Linked DNA regions of Arabidopsis thaliana. The protein of the gene in region 1 interacts with the protein of each later gene in a pairwise test. Each region holds a gene or a part of one and is shown in the gene's direction. Other genes may lie near its edges.

Region 1 (6,745 bases):
TACTGTTTTCCTGCTTAGGATTACATATTATATAATGTTGTAGTTGCTTTTCTCATATGAAGCTACTATCTTTATTCTTTAGTATATTTCATCAAAACTTTATTTGTATATTAAAACAAACGCTCTACTATTGCTTAACAATCTACAAAATATTAAAAGGAATTAAAAGTTAAAACCAACCATGCATGCTAATCAAAGTTAAGTTATCGACTGATTTTCATCTACTTGATTCTTTGATTATTTTTGTAAATTAAATGTGGTAATTTCTAAGGTTAGTTTGGATTTCAGCTCAAAACTTAATTGAAATGTTTACTTGGATTTTGTAACTAATATAAAAATTACTAAAATCCTTTTTTAACGTGAATGTTATATGATACCAAAACGTTAAAAATTATATTTCAAAATTCATATCATCATATGTAGTGTATTTAGTATTTACACGTGTGTGTGATATATTAATCAGGAAGAGAAGAGTGTGGCTTGGAACTTTCGAAACGGCAGAAGCGGCTGCAAGAGCATACGACCAAGCGGCTCTTCTAATGAACGGCCAAAACGCTAAGACCAATTTCCCTGTCGTAAAATCAGAGGAAGGCTCCGATCACGTTAAAGATGTTAACTCTCCGTTGATGTCACCAAAGTCATTATCTGAGCTTTTGAACGCTAAGCTAAGGAAGAGCTGCAAAGACCTAACGCCTTCTTTGACGTGTCTCCGTCTTGATACTGACAGTTCCCACATTGGAGTTTGGCAGAAACGGGCCGGGTCGAAAACAAGTCCGACTTGGGTCATGCGCCTCGAACTTGGGAACGTAGTCAACGAAAGTGCGGTTGACTTAGGGTTGACTACGATGAACAAACAAAACGTTGAGAAAGAAGAAGAAGAAGAAGAAGCTATTATTAGTGATGAGGATCAGTTAGCTATGGAGATGATCGAGGAGTTGCTGAATTGGAGTTGACTTTTGACTTTAACTTGTTGCAAGTCCACAAGGGGTAAGGGTTTTCATTGTTTTCCGGTTTTTAATATTTTTAAAAAGTTTATTATGTGATGGATTTCCTTTATTTATCGATTATACATGTAAGAAAATTGTCAAAAATACATGTAAAAAAATGTAATATATACAGATTTGTATTTTTTTGTGTGATGAAAGTATACATGCTTGTTGTATTGATTGATATAAAAGATTGTTCGATTTAAGTATTCTCTTGTTTTAATTAATGGGCCTACAATTTTGTTGGTCCTTCAAACACAAACATATATACATATACATTTTTGCAGCCACTTTGTAAAATAAACCTCAAGTTGAGACTTATTTACAGTGGCTGCCACTGGCATTTAATAATTATTTTTGATAATTAGAAAGTAAATCTTCGAATTAAATATTTGACATTTAACTATATTCCCAAAATCTCTCTACATTAACTACACGATTAGTTACTAAAATAAAACTTCCAAAATATTTAACATCATTTAAAAATTACAAAATTATCATTTTTGATATTGCTTTTTTGCATGACTATAACAATTCGATTATACGCATCAACCCACAGAGATATTTGATAGCAATTAATTATTACAAAATTACAAAATATTTAGACAATGATTCATAAACATATCATAAATAAGATCAATATTAATAAAATAAATAGTTTTTTTTACGGGACGGATTGGCGGGACGAGTTTAGCAGGACGTAACTTAATAACAATTGTAAACTATAAAATAAAAATATTTTATAGATAGATACAATTTGCAAACTTTTATATATACTAACTTAAAAAAAAAATATTGTCCCCTGCGGTATAAGACGGGTTAAAAATCTAGTTGTTATTATTAAAGGAAATAAAATATCCTCATAAAACAATTTGTTGTAATCTATCTTTGGGCTAATGTTCTTATCCTACAAGACGAACCCTGACCGTATTCGTCGTAGAAAAAAAATTGCTTCGATCCCATCATTGAGTTCAATAATCGGCGCACAAAGGCCGATTCATAAAAACTCTAGGCCCATTAAAGTAAAGCCCATTCTCAACCCTATCCAGTCTCCCTGTATATATATATTTACGACACCAACCCAGCGTTGATATTTAATTTTCTTCAGTCAGAGATTTCGAAACCCTAGTCGATTTCGAGATCCAACTAACTCTGCTCCTTATCTCAGGTAAAATTCTCGCTCGAGAACTCAATTGCTTATCCAAAGTTCCAACTGAAGATGCTTTCCTACTGAATCTTAGGTTAATGTTTTGGATTTGGAATCTTACCCGAAATTTCTCTGCAGCTTGTTGAATTTGCGAAGTATGGGAGACGCTAGAGACAACGAAGCCTACGAGGAGGAGCTCTTGGACTATGAAGAAGAAGACGAGAAGGTCCCAGATTCTGGAAACAAAGTTAACGGCGAAGCTGTGAAAAAGTGAGTTTTATGGTTTCCTCGATATGTTTCATGTATACTACTGTGTGTTTAAATTTGTCGATTCTTAGATTACTACTTGATAACAAGTAGCAGTATGTGTTTAATTAGTTGCTTAACATATAACAATTGACTGAGTTCTTCATTGCTATAATTCCTGAAACCCACCCAATATTAGACTGTCGTGTGTTTCTCATATTGTATTTTCTCTTTGTGACAGAGGGTACGTGGGAATACACAGTTCTGGATTCAGAGACTTCCTTTTGAAACCGGAGCTTCTCAGAGCTATTGTTGACTCAGGATTTGAACATCCATCTGAAGGTAATTACCAATAAAAATTCAATTTTGTTGCCTTTCACCATTCTATTACTGAATCTGAATGATATGGTAGAATTTACAGAAGTTTCTTCTCCATAAGCTTTTTAGGTGTCCGGAGACTTTTAATTATATGTACTTCGTCTAGTTTTGAGAAGATATGTTGGTTTAAGATATTTTACTTTATCTGGGTCCCTTGCTTATCACCTAACTAAGTCCAAAATCCAAAAGTTTTGTGTTGATTATAAGGTTAAATTCTTCTTTAGTTTCCTGTAATAATTTTTTTTAGTTTTCTGTCTATTAACGTTTCACTGATTACTTTTTCCAGGTAATAAACGCTAATTTCGATCTATTGATTTGGAGTGAGCTTAACATGTGCTAAAGCCACCAATTTAAAAGATATGGAGGTTATCATCTACTTATAAAGGGTTTCTTCGGTGCTATTTTCTTTGGTTCTCCACCAGTGCAACACGAATGTATCCCTCAAGCTATCTTGGGTATGGATGTTATCTGCCAAGCAAAGTCTGGTATGGGGAAGACTGCTGTGTTTGTCCTGTCTACTCTACAACAGATTGAACCATCTCCTGGCCAGGTTTCTGCACTTGTCTTGTGCCATACAAGAGAGCTAGCTTACCAGGTATGACCTTCTTGTTTCACTCAGGTTCTTGGCTTATAGTCGTGTTTTACGTCTTCAAGTTCTCTAATGCTTACTATGCCTTGATGCTGAAAATTACTTGCAGATCTGCAATGAGTTTGTGCGATTCAGTACCTATCTGCCTGATACAAAAGTTTCGGTGTTCTATGGTGGAGTCAACATTAAAATTCACAAAGACTTGCTGAAGAATGAATGTCCTCACATTGTTGTTGGTACCCCTGGTCGAGTGCTTGCACTTGCCAGGGAGAAAGATCTCTCTTTGAAGAATGTGAGGCATTTTATTCTTGATGAGTGTGATAAAATGCTCGAGTCACTTGGTATGCTGATTTCTGACATCATTATTACATCGATCCCTGAATAATTTTATGTTTTAACACTTCAACTTGTCTTTACCAGACATGCGAAGGGATGTGCAGGAGATTTTCAAGATGACTCCTCATGACAAACAAGTAATGATGTTCTCAGCAACGCTCAGCAAAGAGATACGCCCAGTCTGCAAGAAGTTTATGCAAGATGTAATGTTCCATGGCCAATTCTCTCTCCCTTTGCAAGTCTTCTAGTTTTCATCTATTTTTAGCCTTCTATGGGTGATCATAGCATTATTTGAGCATCTTCTGCGGTTCTGCCCTTGAAAAGCTGAAACTGATCTCTGGATGGGTCTCAATCCAATAATGCTTTGGGTAGTTTCTAGAGAACGAGACTGTGAGTGTGAGACTCTTTAGCTTTGGTATGGTTTCTATCGGTGATCATAGCATTATTTGAGCATCTTCTGTTGTTCTGCCCTGGAAAAGTTGCAACTGATCTCTGGAAGGATCTCAACCTAATAATGCTTTGGGTAGTTTGTAGGGGTTGAGAACTCTGAGTGGAGACTCTGTAGCTTTGGTATGATTGAGTGACCGTTGCACAACAGGATTTCCTTTCATCTTAACCTTTTATTCAGTTTCAATTTCTTTGAAAATCTAGCAGTGGTGGGTGGGTTTTGGGTCGGGGTACTGTGTTTTCCCAAGGTTTCATCGTGCTCGTATGGGTCTCAATGTTCCGAGCAATATTGATGTTTCATAGCAAAACTCACATCTTTGAAGAGAAAAGGTGGACGAGGATCTCAGTTCAGGGGATCTCCATCCATCTTCACTTTTGTAGTGTAAATCATTTCCTGAGGAAAGCTAGCTAATACTTCTTACCTGGTATCTGTTCCTTTCAGCCAATGGAAATATATGTTGATGATGAAGCCAAGTTGACTCTTCATGGACTTGTCCAGGTACGTTTAACTGGTTTGAGGTCTTCGTATTCAATGTAAATATATGTTGTTGTTTGATACTTAAGTGACCTTTTTTCTGTTCTACTGTAACAGCACTACATCAAACTGAGCGAGATGGAGAAAAATCGCAAGTTGAATGACCTTCTTGATGCGTTGGACTTCAATCAAGTTGTCATTTTTGTGAAGAGCGTGAGCAGGGCTGCGGAGCTGAACAAGTTACTGGTGGAATGCAATTTCCCCTCAATATGCATACACTCTGGCATGTCTCAAGAAGAGAGGTTTGTACATTCTCTTAAAAATTCAATGTTTCTGAAGGACCCTACCTGCTCTTAAAGCCCTCATGGAGAGTCCAATTCTTAAGCCTAATACGATATGTTATGTAGGTTGACTCGATACAAAAGTTTCAAGGAAGGGCACAAGAGGATCCTTGTGGCGACTGACTTGGTAGGAAGAGGGATTGACATAGAGCGTGTCAACATTGTTATCAACTATGACATGCCAGATTCTGCGGATACCTATCTTCATAGGGTAAGTATATAATCCTGAGATTTATTATTTGATCGTTGATGAAAGGGCTCTTGTAACTTTACCGTTTTGCTGTGTGTATGGGATAGGTTGGGAGAGCTGGTAGATTTGGAACCAAGGGTCTTGCAATCACATTTGTTGCATCTGCTTCAGATTCAGAGGTCCTTAATCAGGTATGGTGTTTGATCTTTTAATAAATTCCATGGAAAAAGTCCCCATGATATTGAGTTGGGTATTTAGTAAAGTGGCAAGTATAAATGTTGGACAGGTTCAAGAGAGGTTTGAGGTCGATATAAAGGAGCTTCCTGAGCAGATTGATACATCGACTTACAGTAAGTTTTAAATCCCATTACTAAATGTGAAAAAGGCTGGTTTTGTCTGGTATTGATATTAACTTAGTTTCTTCTTCGTATTCTTTGCTCAGTGCCGTCTTAAACAAGTAGCATCATCTCTGAGGAACGAACCTCTTCAGATTTCAACCTTTTAGGTGTTCAAAGGGGTCATGGAGGTCCACAACTATCTCTCACACCGTTTGTTGCTTCGCTATTTTAGACTTTTCTATGAGGACAAGTTTTTCCATATATTTAGACCGTTTTGTAACTCTTGAAAAATGAGATTGAGCTACTCTCCAAATCGCGCACAGTTGAGAGCTCTCCTGTTTTTTGTACTAGTGATGGTTATCTTTAAAATATTAAGATTTCAGGATTTATTCTTTGGCTTGATCATTGATTAAATGTTCCTAGTGAATTGATCTAGTTTGATGCAAAGCGAATATTATTGAATGTTGATAAGAATCCTGAACGTAAATACCGTCTTTTATGCTGACCAATGAACAAATATTTCATGTAATAGTAGTAGGTAAGATTTAAGTTTGCATCAGTCTATCTTAGATACATTTAAACATATTTGAGAAAAGGATTCCTTAAATATTATGATTATGCAATCTAAACAGTGAAAGAAATCTAGAGTTTAGGTTTGACTATGCTGACTTTAGCCTTGATAGTGGCGCAACTCTTCTAATGGGTATAGTGTTTGAGGTCAGTTTCTTACGACGGACCAAAGCTGTGTCGACTTCCACAATATGATCTCCAACATTACCTTCTTCATTGACTTCTTCTTGAGCTGCATTGGCTTGATCATTTGGTAGATTGGGTGAAGCATTGTGTTGTCTCTCTTGGTATCCTCTAGAAGCCAACATGAGTAAGAGTAGAATCACAGAAACAACAAAGACGATCAGAAATAGAGCTTCAAAGCTGTGGTGGTCGAGCTGGATTGGAGAATCTGATGTAGTCGAGTCCAGACAATGTTTTTCTCCAAGGAACCACTTGTTCTCTATAGCTTTCATGGCATCTCCCTCTGTTATGTTCAAGATCTGTCTTGAAATATCTGACACCAATGGAGATCCTAGTGGAAATGCCTGCAAAAATCATTGAGATTTAGTATCACTTCTGAATGGTGCCAGTGTAGAAAGCTGCTTTTAGTTCATCGTTCACAAGTTTGGTGCGTACAGGCCAAAACGTTTGAATGTTAGCTAAAAGTGGTTTTGACTACAAGCGGTGTACCTCTCTTCTGCTGCCACCATTAAAAGTCTA
Region 2 (4,584 bases), on another chromosome or scaffold:
CGCGTCTCTCTACGAGATCCTTGAAATTCCCGTCGGCTCGACGAGTCAAGAGATCAAATCAGCTTACCGGCGACTAGCCAGGATCTGTCATCCCGATGTAGCGAGAAATAGTCGGGATAACTCGTCGGCGGACGATTTCATGAAGATCCACGCAGCGTATTGCACGCTTTCGGATCCCGAGAAACGCGCCGTTTATGATCGGAGGACTCTTCTTCGGAGCCGGCCGTTAACGGCTGGATACGGCAGTTACGGTGGACGGAATTGGGAAACCGATCAGTGCTGGTAGCGAGTTGACTCGATGTGTCGAGTTGGTCCAAAACCATTGAATTGGTTGTAATTAGAGCAAACCCAGAGATTCTGGGTGGTTGTGCCACGTAGGATCAACACGGTTTATCGTGCCACGTAGGATCTGTCGCGTTTTTAGCCTTTGTATCCATAAGTAGTAAGTAGTCTGTATTTAGTATTTACCATCTAATAAAGAAAATAAAAATTTATGTATAACTTAAAGTGTTCCAACTTAGCAATCAATAGTATGTAGCCTTGGAGAAACAGATTTTTTTTGTTACAGGTAAGATTTACATACTGAAATCATATAGCATTCTTAGAAAATTTTAGTTGTATTATGTTGTAGTCACCTAATTTAAAAAGCTGGGAGTGTTTTTTTTCTAGTCGCACAATCAGCCGACATCGACAATAAAAGAAAAGAAGATCTATGTCAAATAGTAACAAAAATACATAAATACATATATATGTAAAGATTTTAATACTGTTGCGGTGCGGTTTTGGGTGTGGTCTATGTTACCATTCATGGTCTTAGTCTATCGAAAGTTCGATAACGTTGTTTGCCTTGGTGGCAGTGAATTTTTTCCTGTCACGCGACTGTGAAAAGAGTAATTTTTAGAGACGTTACAATCGCATATCGTGAATTCCGATGTATGTGATATGTGTATGTGGAGGGTTACTGAGAGTTTTTTCTATGGGCGTTATAAACATTTTTAGTTTGAACGTTGTGCAATCAACTAGGTATGCATGCATGGGTTAATTTTATGATTCTAATTTTTTTGGGTAAAAGTTATATAAATAACGGTATTTCAAAGAGTTAACATTGGGTCAAATTTCTTGCTCAGAATTTCAGAGTTATACTAACATGACGTTTATGATGATAATAATTATAGTCAATTTAAATTGCCTTCACCAGGGCCACCAAAATAGCTAAGCAAATACGACAGACAAGGTTCTTTTCTTCTCGTCATCATAATCCATGTGTCACTCTTGTTTCAACATGCCATGTTCTGGAACATTTGCATCTCACGAATCTTTCATAATATTTACAAAAAAAAACTCATATTCTTTTCACATATATATAACTATTTTAAATGTGAACAAAAAAAAAGTAATTATAAATTCACTATTGTCATTAAAAGAAAAATAAATAAAAAAAGGAACTCTTGTCATTTTCTTAAGTATAGCATTGTCATGACAAAAGCTATGCTGTCCATAAACAATGGGAAGCAGAAGATTGTTGATGTTCGACACCATACATTATCAAAATATATAATATATATATATATATAATAGACGATAGATATCCAATAATTAGTTTAAGTAATTGGGATGTTCTTTTTTTCTTGCTTCTAGAAGAAAATATGATCGAATCATTTTTTTCTTCACAATTGAACTTCGGATAATATCATCCATGTATTGGTTCATTGAATTAAAAAAGTGAGCTGGGATATTGAAAATTTGGATGCAAAATAAGTTGCATAAAAATAGATATAATATCAAAATATAATATATTGTTTAGATAAAACAACCAAAAGTGTGAAACACTTTCTCTTCTAGTAGAAGTATAACATAATAATCTAAATCATGTCATATTTACTTTAGATTTACTATGAATATCCCTTTCTTTTTGCAAAAAGTGATAATTATAGACTGCATTTTCATCCAATTCCCAGAGTTTGGGGATGGTTAAGAGATGATAAAACATCTCAAGCATTTTTTTTAAAGTTAGTGTGAAATCAAACCTTATCAATTTTGCTTAGTTCTTTTGAAACTCTTACATAAATAGGCCCATTTCATTATGTGAACCATGGGCCTGATCCAAAATGCACACGTGGTAACTGCCGCCGATAGAGAAGGAGCTGACGTGGCGAATTTAAGGTCAATTTGGGGTTAATAGATCTAGCAAGTAGCAATTTAGGGTTTTCATTTTACCCATTTCCTCTCTTTGTACGAACAAAGTGCTTCGAGTTTTTGTTAACCTTTTTCTCTGATCTAATGGCGATGGAAGATCAATCGGCGGCGAGATCTATCGGAAAAGTTAGTTGGTTTAGCGATGGAAAAGGCTACGGTTTCATTACTCCCGATGATGGCGGCGAAGAGCTTTTTGTTCATCAATCCTCAATTGTCTCCGATGGATTCCGTAGCTTGACTCTTGGTGAATCGGTTGAATACGAAATCGCGCTTGGAAGCGACGGAAAGACTAAGGCCATTGAAGTTACTGCTCCCGGCGGCGGTTCACTTAATAAGAAGGAAAACAGCTCCCGTGGATCCGGAGGTAATTGTTTTAATTGCGGTGAGGTTGGTCATATGGCTAAGGATTGTGACGGTGGAAGTGGTGGGAAAAGCTTTGGAGGTGGTGGTGGTCGTAGATCTGGCGGCGAAGGTGAATGTTACATGTGTGGTGATGTGGGACACTTCGCTAGGGATTGTAGGCAAAGCGGTGGTGGAAACAGCGGCGGAGGAGGAGGAGGTGGTCGTCCGTGTTACAGTTGCGGTGAGGTTGGTCATTTGGCAAAGGATTGTCGTGGTGGTTCTGGTGGAAACAGATACGGAGGAGGTGGTGGTCGTGGATCTGGCGGTGATGGATGCTACATGTGTGGTGGTGTGGGACATTTCGCTAGGGATTGTAGGCAAAACGGCGGTGGAAACGTTGGAGGTGGTGGAAGCACTTGTTATACCTGTGGCGGAGTTGGCCACATTGCGAAAGTTTGCACCAGCAAGATACCTTCTGGTGGTGGTGGTGGTGGTCGTGCTTGTTACGAATGTGGAGGAACTGGCCATTTGGCTCGTGACTGTGATCGGAGAGGAAGTGGAAGCAGCGGAGGTGGCGGTGGCAGTAACAAGTGCTTCATCTGCGGCAAGGAAGGTCACTTTGCGAGGGAATGTACTTCGGTTGCTTAACAAAAAGATGCAAAGAAGAAGAGTAATGTTCATAAACCTCTTTTGTTTTCTATTAAAATCTACCTAATGCTCCTTTTTGGTGACTATAATGTGATTGCTAAAGTCGTTTAGGATGTTTAAGAATGGTTGTTTTGGGAGTTTTTGATCTCTCTATATTACTCTTTTGACTGGTTTATGCAACCTGTTCACTGCTTTTGTTGATGCCATAAGTTTGAGATCTTGAATGATATGTGTGCTTGCTTATTTACAGTTTCTTGTCTTTCCTTGCAATGAGTGTGATTGTATGACTTGAAAATTCAATCTGTTATGGTCACTTCTGTTATATACCAAGATTTGAGACTTTTTTTTACTAACTTGTAAATACAAAGAGATGAGTCACAAGTCTTTCTTGGTTCCTCTTTGTTGGAGAGCTTAAAGATTTTCCTGTAACTGGTTTACTTATACTCTGCATTGCTGTTTTTCTTGTTCTTGATGAAACAGAGATATTAGCTTAAGAATAATCTTTTGATATTTTAGATTACTTAGATCTTGTTTTAGGAGAATCTCCTGAACAGAGGAGAGACATGGTGTGCGTGATCTTGTAGTGCCTATGCCTGTTCGTCAGTTCGTGGTTTCTTTTTCTCTACTTACCGTGATGTTTTAAGAAGATGATGAAGTTAATCCCGTTAGTTTTTTTTAACCTAATTACACTTGTGATTAGCTGAATCTTTCGGATATAAACATTTGGATCCCACGTGTTCTGTTATTGGAAGTGACTTGATCTTTCTTAACATATACAAAGACAAGCTTCTAATGTCCAACACCTCCTTTATTTCCGTTAATACAAAATCCCACCAATTCCAGTACAATTAACTTACTACACAACACCATACATGTCTCTTTCCTATCAAAGTCTTTAAACTAAATAACTTTTTCCTTAACAAACAAAAGAGAGCTTTTTCCTCCTCTAACCTTTATCTAAATTTCTAGTTTTGAATTTAGGAAGAGATCCTCAACAAATAGTTATAAAAAAAAAATGTATAATTTTCGAAAAGGATAACAAGTATACTAGCTTGATTCGTAATTTCCATTTCACAAGTATTAATGAGAATATTGAAATAAAGGAAATGATGAGTGAACATGTATCGGATTCTGTAATGGCAAAACTCATATAGGGAAAATTGATATTATGAAACTTTCCATAACACAAATCCCCGATTCTCTTATATAAACACGATCCCTAACTTCTCCTGAATCATACAACATCAAACGGTAACAATGGATTTGGCTAAAGTCTCTTGCTTTCTCTTAGCGATTATGTTTTTCATCAATGGTGGTTCCTCCACCACGTTCACCATCGTTAACCAGTGTAACTACACCGTCTGGCCGGGACTTCTCTCCGGCGCCGGCACCGCTCCA

Evidence for each region.
Region 2: the proteins of UAP56b (region 1) and CSP3 interact in a two-hybrid assay, tested with the Arabidopsis thaliana proteins (one study listed by BioGRID).

The regions. Positions count from the first base shown.
Region 1 is NC_003076.8:3,565,099-3,571,843, forward strand, and holds UAP56b (DEAD/DEAH box RNA helicase family protein), read left to right. Parts: upstream 1-2,076; 5' UTR 2,077-2,154; intron 2,155-2,271; 5' UTR 2,272-2,290; coding exon 2,291-2,403; intron 2,404-2,620; coding exon 2,621-2,721; intron 2,722-3,179; coding exon 3,180-3,352; intron 3,353-3,455; coding exon 3,456-3,687; intron 3,688-3,766; coding exon 3,767-3,885; intron 3,886-4,054; coding exon 4,055-4,097; intron 4,098-4,216; coding exon 4,217-4,252; intron 4,253-4,336; coding exon of another isoform or gene 4,337-4,377; coding exon 4,378-4,475; intron 4,476-4,571; coding exon 4,572-4,628; intron 4,629-4,721; coding exon 4,722-4,906; intron 4,907-5,011; coding exon 5,012-5,156; intron 5,157-5,242; coding exon 5,243-5,326; intron 5,327-5,421; coding exon 5,422-5,485; intron 5,486-5,577; coding exon 5,578-5,588; 3' UTR 5,589-5,917; downstream 5,918-6,745. Other genes in the region: SHN2 (Integrase-type DNA-binding superfamily protein), read left to right, coding at 464-953; GLR2.5 (glutamate receptor 2.5), read right to left, coding at 6,133-6,570. UniProt on the Arabidopsis thaliana protein: ATP-dependent RNA helicase involved in pre-mRNA splicing. Required for the export of mRNA out of the nucleus. In addition to ssRNA and dsRNA, binds dsDNA, but not ssDNA.
Region 2 is NC_003071.7:7,762,878-7,767,461, reverse strand, and holds CSP3 (cold shock domain protein 3), read left to right. Parts: upstream 1-2,185; 5' UTR 2,186-2,280; coding exon 2,281-3,186; 3' UTR 3,187-3,934; downstream 3,935-4,584. Other genes in the region: AT2G17880 (Chaperone DnaJ-domain superfamily protein), read left to right, coding at 1-286; AT2G17860 (Pathogenesis-related thaumatin superfamily protein), read left to right, coding at 4,444-4,584.